Saccharomyces cerevisiae S288C: one gene and its partner. The protein of the gene in region 1 interacts with the protein of each later gene in a pairwise test. Each region holds a gene or a part of one and is shown in the gene's direction. Other genes may lie near its edges. The genes, in order: MLC2 and MYO1.

Region 1 (3,344 bases):
TTATTAGGCGATTGTTCATGCACCTGTGTTAGTAATGTCATAGCATCCTTCCAATTTTTCCTTTCAATAAAAATTATACCTTTGCCCATTTTTGCTTGTATATTACTAAAATCACCGGATAAAATGTTATCATATAACTTTAATGCAGCATTGTGGTCCTTTGGGGCATCGACATATGTATAAACGGTAGCCAAATCCAGAGAAAATTCTCTTTTTGTTAATGGCAAATGTACCCCCAGGTCCTTTATATTATAGGCAATTAAAGAAATACCATTTTTGATGTATGGTAAAGCTGCCTCATACTCCTTGGTCAGTAGGTAATATTGACAAAGAATGCGATGCGCTAAGATATTATTTTTACATTTTACGATATTCTCCGTCAATACAGTGACAACCTCTTCCTCTAATAAACCAATTTCTATATCATCAAGGTCTTCTTCTTCATCTTCCTTTGCCTCCTCATCTTGATCTTTGACTTCATCTTCAACACGATCTTTAACTTCATCTTCAACGCGATCTTTAACTTCATCTTCATTTGTCTCATCTACATCCTTAATATCTGTTTCCTTCTCCGTCTTTTTATGGCCTTCAGGTGGTTTATTAGCCGATTCCAAACTTTTAATATCATATTTCGATAGTTTTGAGGAAAGCCAGGAATAGAGGATCATGGCCAATGGATCTTTAGGAAATTTCTTAAAGTACTTTATTATCAATGGGGCATCCATGTTGTCCAGATCTTCGTAATCTGTCCATTCGAAATACTTTTGCCATGCAAGCAAAGATTGATGATTCACAAGAACCATATCCTCGACCATTTCCTTAACTTTCGTGAAAAAATCTTTTTTTACATCCAGCGGCATTGATTTTAGCACTTTGATTCTATATTCTAACCACTGGTTCTCAATTTCACTTCTCTTTTGATCGTCAGCGAGAATATTTACCAACTGGTTGTATAACTGATCAATTTCTGAATTTTTAATTATTTCCCAGGAGAATGAATTTAGTTTAATTTGATAATCAGGATCACTAGCTTTTAGTTTTAACCTGTTCTGACTAAGGGTCTTACCTATTTCCGTTGTTTCAATATTAGACAGTATCTTTATAAGATTTAATAAAGCGTCCTGGGGTGTAGATAGATGACGACCAATAGTTTCCGCCATTAGCGACCCAGGTTTCAAATGCTGATAAAAGGCTTTTTGACAATCTGGATGCGTTTTCTTTAGTAATTTTATGTCATTTATTAGTTCTACTTGAGACTGTTCCTGCTTTAAAAGTGCGTCTGCATATTGGCCACACAGGTCAAAATATTCATCATACGAAAGTATGTCTGGGACAACCTCAGTGGTTCTAAATAAGAGAAAAAGTCCTTTCCACGCTAAAAGGTTATCAGGAACTAATTTGGCAGCGGACACGTAATGATTAGTAGCTCTCTCCAGGTTCCGATTTGAACTGACATTATTACTAGCTGGAAGACTCGAAAGTGCTTTCCCTAGAAAAATATGTGCGAAATAATTATCGGGATCTAGTTTAAGAACCTTTTCCGATATTTCGATGGTCTCTTCATAGTCACGATTTGTCAATTCTTGTTTGGCTTCCTTCAATAGCTGTTTAATATCCGACATATTTCCTCTGCTCTTCGTGTTTCTTTTCTGTGTTCTTAGTGTCTTTCTTGACAAGAAAGTTTTATTAGTTAGTTGTTTTCCAACTTTATTTTTTTTTTTACATTTCTCGTATTTCTAAACTATACAATGCACAGCTAAGAAAAGAGTAATTTCGAATCGTTTATTGAGCAAACTTGAAGTAGATATGGACCATAGTGAATCGCTAACGTTTAACCAACTTACGCAGGACTACATAAATAAACTCAAAGATGCTTTCCAAATGCTGGATGAGGATGAGGATGGTCTGATTAGTAGGGGAGATCTTACCAAGATATATGCAACATTGGGGAAGACATTGACAGATGAGGAATGGTCCAAAATGGTACCTGACAATGACACCAGTACCGCGGAAGTTGGAGAAGAAGGTGTAAGCTTTCCCATATTCTTATCTATCATGGGGAAGAACTTATCGCAGTTTCCCGAGCGTGAAGAATTGGAAGAAAGTTTAAAAGCCATTGGAAGAGGACACGATTTAAACGTTCCCTTGAATGAGGTCATTGATTCTTTAAAGGAAGCCGGTTTTGAAAATCCTGAGGAAGAATTTGCTAAACTTTTCAAATTGTTTACTACAAATCAGCAAGCGACCGAAGAGAGAACTTTCAGAGGTAAGCTTTTCTTAGATTCAATCACCGATTAAATATTCTATATACACATATCAAAGAAAGCAGTCAGCAGCTTTTTTATTCATACAAACATTTTTATTACCAAATAGGTTATAGCGTGGTTCTCTCGTCCAGTTATTTGCATTACAAAATAAATCGTTCTTTATAGTTATAATAATATACAAACAAAGCAAATACACATAAAGGAAAATGCAGGTGTAATCACAAATCCACAATGAGTTCCTCCACACTCCAGTCCTCAAAGGAACCATCTGGTAAATATCTTCTAATAACCAAAGGAATTTTCTTTTCAGCCAACTCCTTCATGGCAATACGCAATGGATCAGTTTCACCTTCTAAATCTACAAAAACTGGCGCATTCATGGAAATTTGTAGGGCTCTTGTACCTAAAATTCTTGCCCTTTCATATTTGGTCATGTATGGAGTAGTTGCTCTTTGGTCTTTTGGGATGGCCTTTTCCTTAAGTGTCTTTCTTCTTATTTGCTCATGCTGTTGAAAATCTTCTGGGCCATTACCACCAGTAACGATGGTCTTACCGTTGGCATCGGTTGTTTCACCATCCTTGAATTGAGGTTTTTCCTCATAAGTCTCCTCATCAGAAAAATGCTCTACATCAAAATCTTCGAAGTTCTCATTACCGTCGTTAAACCTGTATCACAATGATAGAAGTTAGTAAATATAATTAAAACTAAAGCACGCAATTTCTCCAATATGAATGCACATACGCCTCCTCGTAGTCTGACATGATCACTTGTAGCCTTAATCTTTACACTGTTACCTGCAAAATGTGTCTTTTTAGCCTTTCTTCAAGGTTGTGATTGATGCCTTTGAATGATATTCTTAAAAAAAAAAAAATTTTTTTTTCAATTAAATATCATACTATACGAATAATCAATATACAATGATTATTTATTATAAGAAGAACTAACTATCAAATAAGGGCATTAAGCACAGTAGTAACTGTTGAAATCGCTGTCAAATGGGAGGAGAGGTTCTAAATAATGAAGGAATGCCACTGGCCGAACTTAAACAGGAGACCATTCCCATATCACGATCAGAG
Region 2 (7,703 bases), on another chromosome or scaffold:
AAAACTTGAACATCAATACTGGTGCGTCTTTGAGCAGTCGATTTATTGGCATTGATCAGGCGCTCTTCTAGGAAATTGCCACAACTTTCATAAATTGTGCCAGAGTTTTTAGCTTTGAAACCCGCATAATTCGGCAACTGTCCTTTTACGCCAAAGGTACGATAGTATTTTACCAAAGTATCAAATTGGATTGTCTTGTGGTAGAGGTCCGAAACCCTATAACGATTAGCATCTGATATTTGAAATGAACTACCTAGCCAACTGCGAACCAGAGAAGTTTTTCCAGAATGATCATCCCCCATTACAGTAATCTTCGAAGATTTCAAGTCGAAACATCTTGGGATTGACGCAAGGCTTGCGCCGTATGATAAGCGAACACTCATAGCGTTTGACCTAATACGGTATAATTAAAAGAAAAAAAGACAAAAAAATAGGATAGCCAACACAGAGCAGAACCTTAACAATTTCTCTAGATACAATTTACATGCTCAGCGTTTCTTTATATACATTCTCCCTGTATATATTCCTTTGAAAATTTCTTAGATTTTTTTGAAATTAAATAATAAGTAACGAGCCAAGATCGTTAAGGTAAGTACTTGAAAAGGATTTTTCAAAGAAGGCAAGCATAGACGATCTCTACGACATTTTTTTTTGCCCTTGATGTTCTTATGAAAAACAACTTCTACAAGTTGTACTTATCAGAAGTGCAAAAAAAAAAAATTGTTTAGACGACAAAAATAGCGTTTAATAATCAAGGTCATGGCTTTTAAACAAAGCGTTAATCTTAATCCCTATATCTCCTCTAAAATGGACGTAGCTTTTACAAAGGGATATTACGCTTGAGTATCCCTTTTGAAGATCGTTGCACCATTACGTATTAAAGCATTTTTTTTCCTCCGTCAAGATCTTACCCGAATACTGCTGCAGGACATACAAAGCGCACTGACATGACGCAGGAAGATTGATTAGAACCGTCCGCAAAATTTTCTTTGTTACAGCATTAGTAACGCATCACCTCCTTCTCAAGCTAGGGCACTTTTAACTCATAAAGCGACACATTGCCTTTTCAAATATTGTAGCTTTTCAAATCACGCAATGGAATATTTGCAGCATTCATTGTTCCGTCAAAAGTAAAATTTATTTTTAGTACTTCAACGTGGAAGGCAAACCTTGCCTTATACCTTTACATGGATGGTTTTATGCTATTGTGAAACGAAGTCAAAAGGCTAAACAAAAAGATAAAGGAGGGGCATATTATCGGACCACCTCGTATAGCAAGAAAGGGTACTTATCAAAAGAAAAGGTCGCTGAAAATCGAGCCCCTCTTGAGAATTTGATTTTCATACATATCCCTTTTCTCTTCCGGGTTAAAGCCTTTACATAAATGTGTCATTGTATAGCATTACTTTTTTTTTGGTGTGAAAAAAAAATCGGAAAAATATTCACAGGGTAATGCTGAGATAGCTTTTCTTACCCTCCTTGGAATTTGGAATATTTCGAGATTTCATCATTTAGCCCAAAAGGGTAATTGCGTAAACATTTGTAATTTCTTGGTGTATTTGTTTTGATTGTTCATTGTTTATGACCAGCTACTTTATTCATACTCTTCCACACTACTTTTTTTTTCTTGATTACATCTCGAATCCTGCGAACTTCGTGGTTAGAAGATCATAACAAAGTTAGACAGGACAACAACAGCAATAATGACCGGCGGGCAGTCTTGCAGTTCTAATATGATCGTCTGGATACCAGATGAGAAAGAAGTTTTCGTAAAAGGGGAGCTGATGAGTACCGATATCAACAAGAATAAATTTACAGGCCAAGAAGAACAAATAGGAATTGTCCACCCGTTGGATTCCACAGAGGTTTCTAATCTAGTGCAGGTACGAATATCCGATGTATTTCCAGTTAACCCATCGACTTTTGACAAAGTAGAGAATATGTCTGAGTTAACCCATTTGAATGAGCCGTCTGTGCTTTATAACCTAGAAAAGAGGTACGATTGTGATCTAATATACACCTATTCCGGCTTATTTTTAGTGGCGATTAACCCTTATCACAATTTGAATTTATATTCTGAAGACCATATAAACTTGTACCACAACAAGCATAACAGGTTATCAAAGAGCAGATTGGATGAAAACTCCCATGAAAAACTGCCGCCGCATATATTTGCAATTGCAGAAGAAGCCTATGAGAATCTTTTATCTGAAGGAAAAGATCAATCTATTTTAGTCACTGGTGAATCCGGTGCGGGCAAGACAGAAAATACGAAAAAGATTCTACAATATCTAGCATCTATAACTTCTGGCTCTCCTTCCAATATAGCTCCTGTTAGTGGTAGTTCTATTGTAGAAAGCTTCGAAATGAAAATTCTACAAAGTAACCCTATCTTAGAGTCTTTTGGTAATGCACAGACTGTACGAAATAACAACTCTTCAAGATTCGGTAAATTCATAAAGATAGAATTTAATGAACATGGTATGATCAATGGTGCGCATATCGAGTGGTACCTTTTAGAGAAATCAAGAATTGTTCATCAAAATTCGAAAGAAAGAAATTATCATATATTTTACCAACTATTATCCGGTTTAGACGATTCTGAGTTGAAAAATCTACGCCTTAAATCTAGGAACGTAAAAGATTACAAAATTTTATCCAATTCTAACCAGGATATTATACCAGGAATCAACGACGTAGAGAATTTTAAAGAACTGCTCTCGGCATTGAATATTATTGGGTTTTCAAAAGATCAAATAAGATGGATATTTCAAGTAGTGGCAATTATTTTATTAATCGGTAACATTGAGTTCGTATCAGACAGAGCAGAACAAGCATCTTTCAAAAATGATGTTAGCGCAATTTGTAGCAATTTAGGCGTGGACGAAAAAGATTTCCAAACTGCCATATTAAGGCCTAGATCAAAAGCCGGAAAAGAGTGGGTTTCACAGTCCAAAAACTCTCAACAAGCTAAGTTCATCTTGAATGCCTTATCAAGAAATCTTTATGAGCGGTTGTTCGGATATATTGTGGATATGATTAATAAAAACTTGGACCATGGGAGTGCAACTTTGAATTACATTGGATTGTTGGATATTGCTGGTTTTGAAATATTCGAAAATAATTCCTTTGAACAATTATGCATCAACTATACAAATGAAAAATTACAGCAGTTCTTTAATAACCATATGTTTGTTTTAGAACAGAGCGAATATTTAAAGGAAAACATTCAATGGGATTATATAGATTACGGAAAAGATTTGCAACTGACGATTGATTTGATCGAAAGCAAGGGGCCACCGACCGGTGTACTACCGTTGTTGGATGAGGAAGCCGTTTTGCCCAAATCCACTGATGAGTCATTCTACTCTAAACTGATCTCAACTTGGGACCAAAACTCTTCAAAGTTTAAACGTTCAAGATTAAAAAATGGGTTCATTTTGAAACACTATGCTGGGGATGTGGAATACACTGTGGAAGGCTGGTTATCCAAAAACAAAGATCCTTTAAACGATAATCTCTTGTCTTTGTTGTCTTCTTCACAAAACGATATCATTTCAAAACTGTTCCAGCCAGAGGGCGAAAAATCTTCTAGTGCTGGTGTGGAAGCCAACATCTCCAACCAAGAAGTTAAGAAATCAGCTAGGACAAGTACCTTCAAGACTACATCATCACGCCATAGAGAACAGCAGATAACATTACTAAATCAACTAGCTTCTACCCACCCACATTTTGTTCGTTGTATAATTCCAAACAACGTGAAAAAAGTGAAAACATTTAACAGAAGGTTAATCTTAGATCAATTACGTTGTAATGGTGTGCTAGAGGGTATTAGACTTGCCAGAGAAGGTTACCCAAATAGGATAGCATTCCAAGAATTTTTCCAGCGGTATAGGATCTTGTATCCTGAAAATTCAACCACCACGACTTTCAGTTCTAAATTAAAAGCCAGTACCAAACAAAACTGTGAGTTTCTTCTAACGTCTTTGCAACTGGATACAAAAGTTTATAAAATTGGTAATACTAAACTGTTTTTCAAAGCTGGAGTATTGGCAGATTTGGAAAAACAAAAAGATGTTAAGCTGAATAATATTATGATTAAACTAACAGCAACTATACGAGGTTACACAGTAAGAAAAGAAATAACGTACCATCTACAAAAATTAAAGAAAACAAGGGTGATTGGTAATACCTTCAGATTATACAATAGACTGGTGAAGGAAGATCCTTGGTTTAATTTATTTATCAGGATCAAGCCACTTTTAACATCATCCAATGACATGACCAGAACCAAAAAATTCAACGAGCAAATTAATAAACTGAAGAACGACCTTCAAGAAATGGAATCTAAGAAGAAGTTTTTGGAAGAAAAGAACCAAAAAACTGTCAATGAGTTGGAAAATACGCAGGACTTGCTAAATCAGGAGAAAGAGAATTTAAGAAAAAATGAGAGCTTATTAAATAGAGTTAAAACCAGCTCAGAAACATTACAAAAACAATTCGATGACCTTGTTTCTGAAAAGGATGAAATTAGCAGGGAAAAACTAGAAGTTGCGCAAAATCTTGAAGAAGCTCATCAAAAAATCCAAGGCCTTCAAGAAACTATTAGAGAACGGGAGGCGACCTTAGAGAAATTACACTCAAAAAATAACGAACTAATAAAGCAAATATCAGACTTGAACTGTGACATTTCTAAGGAACAGAGCTCCCAGTCTTTAATCAAAGAATCTAAATTGAAGCTAGAAAACGAAATAAAGAGATTAAAAGATGTCATAAACTCGAAGGAGGAAGAAATAAAATCGTTCAACGATAAGTTAAGTTCCTCAGAAGAAGATCTTGACATAAAATTGGTCACTTTAGAGAAAAATTGTAACATTGCGATGTCAAGACTACAATCCCTTGTAACAGAAAATTCAGATTTGCGTTCGAAAAATGAGAATTTCAAGAAAGAAAAGGCAGCACTGAATAACCAGTTGAAAAATAAGGAAAGTGAACTGTTAAAGATGAAAGAAAAAATAGATAATCACAAAAAAGAGCTTGCTACTTTTTCCAAGCAAAGAGATGACGCAGTTAGCGAACATGGTAAAATTACTGCTGAACTAAAAGAGACAAGAATCCAACTTACCGAGTATAAATCTAACTATCAAAAGATTAAAGAAGAATATTCCAACTTCCAAAGAGAAACGAAGGAACAGGAGCAAAAGAAAAGAAATAGCCTGGTTGAGTCTCTGAACGATAGTAAAATTAAAGAATTGGAAGCTCGGTTGTCACAGGAAATATCCTTAAATCAATACTTAAACAAAAGAATATCAGGAAATTCTGTAGAAACGAATATTTCGTCTACTAGACGTTCCACATCGTATTCAGATGATCCACTTGACAAAGAAGATATAATAAAAAAATACTATGACCTTCAATTAGCGTTTACTGAAATAACTAGGAATCTAGAGAATGAAATTGAAGAGAAGAAGAACTTAATTTCTAGATTGAGATTCACTGAAACAAGACTAGCATCTTCGTCTTTTGAGGACCAAAAGATTAAGGCACAAATGAAGAAATTAAAAAAATTGATCCAGGATATGGACCCTAGTATTCCTTTGGACAGTATTCTAAATGAGCCGCTAGATAACTGCCCTGACAAAGAGTCTGATATTAACAAATTAATGCTTGAGGTCGATTATTTAAAAAGACAATTGGATATCGAAACAAGAGCTCACTACGATGCAGAAAATGCCATATCTGCTTTACACAGTAAATTTAGAAAGATCCAAGGGGAAAGCTCCCTGTCATCTTCTGATATTTACAAACTGAAGTTCGAAGCCAGTGAAGAAAGAGTCAAATCCTTGGAAGACAAGCTAAAAACCATGCCTTTACGTGATCGAACAAATTTACCTGTCGGAGATATTATAAAGAACCGTGATAGCATTTCAAAATATGAAGAAGAAATTCGCTATTATAAACTTGAAAACTACAAGCTCCAAGAAATATTAAATGAATCAAATGGAAAATTGAGCCAACTCACTCTTGACTTGAGGCAATCAAAATCCAAAGAAGCCCTACTTAGTGAACAATTAGACAGATTACAGAAAGACCTTGAATCTACGGAACGCCAAAAAGAACTACTATCATCCACAATAAAACAGCAGAAACAGCAATTTGAAAACTGCATGGACGATCTGCAAGGGAATGAACTGCGGCTAAGAGAACATATTCATGCACTAAAACAAGCTGAAGAGGACGTAAAGAATATGGCGTCTATCATTGAAAAATTGAAAACTCAAAATAAGCAAAAGGAAAAGTTAATCTGGGAGCGCGAAATGGAAAGAAATGACTCAGATATGCAATTACAGGAAACTCTGCTGGAGTTGAAGAGAGTCCAAGATGTAAAGAAAATCCTGAGTGATGATTTGGCCCATTTAAAGGAGCGATTGAGCGCTGTAGAAGATAGATCCCAATATACGGATGAGATTAATAGATTAAAGGAAGAATTGAACTGCTCTTTAAAAGCTGAAACAAACTTAAAAAAAGAATTTGCAACCCTTAAGTACAAACTGGAAACTTCGACTAATGATTCTGAAGCAAAAATCTCCGATCTGCTGAAGCAGCTCGATCATTATACAAAAGTGGTGGAAATGTTGAACAACGAAAAAGATGCTATTTCTCTTGCAGAAAAAGAACTTTATCAGAAATACGAGGCACTCAATACTGAATGCGAGTCTCTTAAAGGAAAGATAGTGTCTTTGACTAAAATCAAGCAGGAACTGGAATCTGACTTAAATCAAAAGACTGATGCGCTACAGATATCAAACGCAGCACTCTCAAGTTCCACACAAAAGAATAAAGAGATTACTGAAAAAATCAAATATCTGGAGGAAACACTACAACTGCAAATGGAACAAAATTCAAGGAATGGGGAGTTGGTTAAGACATTACAGGCCAGCTGCAATGGATATAAAGATAAGTTTGATGATGAGAAGCAGAAGAATATTGATTTATATGAAGAAAATCAAACTTTACAAAAGCTCAACACCGACTTACAGCTTCAACTAAAAAATTTGCATGAAAGATTATCAGACACTACTGAAAAAAACGCATGGTTATCAAAGATTCATGAATTGGAAAATATGGTAAGCCTAGAAACGGACTTGAAATATGAAGAAATGAAAAAGAACAAGAGTTTGGAGAGAGCAGTGGAAGAGTTACAAACTAAGAACTCCCAACAAACAGATGTAATAGAACTAGCGAATAAAAATAGAAGCGAATTTGAGGAAGCTACTTTGAAATATGAGGCTCAAATCTCTGACTTAGAAAAGTACATTTCTCAACAAGAGCTTGAGATGAAAAAATCCATTAGAGATAATTCTTCTTACCGCGACAAAGTGCAGGAAATGGCCCAAGAAATTGAATTCTGGAAAAGCCGTTATGAATCTACCATGATAGGCTCGAAAAATATTGATAGTAACAATGCACAGAGTAAAATTTTCAGTTAACGAACTTTTTTTTAAAAATTTGGAAGACTTTATATCCTTTATTTAAAAAAATAATGATGAGATGTTTTGTATATACAGAATGAGAATATGCATTATTAACAGAAAAAGACGACACGAGCGTTATATACTAAGTGGCATGAACTCTTTCACCCCGTATCCTTCGATAGTAGTCTTAAAGGTGGTACATAAAATAAAGAAAATAACCGATTCAAT

What was found.
Region 2: the proteins of MLC2 (region 1) and MYO1 interact in binary tests that used the Saccharomyces cerevisiae proteins (3 or more experiments, as listed by UniProt).

What each region holds. Positions count from the first base shown.
Region 1 is NC_001148.4:910,942-914,285, reverse strand, and holds MLC2 (Mlc2p), read left to right. Parts: upstream 1-1,806; coding exon 1,807-2,298; downstream 2,299-3,344. Other genes in the region: SKI complex subunit tetratricopeptide repeat protein SKI3, read right to left, coding at 1-1,622; DNA-directed RNA polymerase core subunit RPO26, read right to left, coding at 2,486-2,933, 3,010-3,029; PZF1 (Pzf1p), read left to right, coding at 3,264-3,344. UniProt on the Saccharomyces cerevisiae protein: Regulatory light chain for the class II conventional myosin MYO1. May play a role in the disassembly of the MYO1 ring at the bud neck at the end of its contraction during cytokinesis.
Region 2 is NC_001140.6:149,963-157,665, forward strand, and holds MYO1 (myosin 1), read left to right. Parts: upstream 1-1,703; coding exon 1,704-7,490; downstream 7,491-7,703. Other genes in the region: YHR022C (uncharacterized protein), read right to left, coding at 1-383; YHR022C-A (uncharacterized protein), read right to left, coding at 1,255-1,344. UniProt on the Saccharomyces cerevisiae protein: Required for cell division.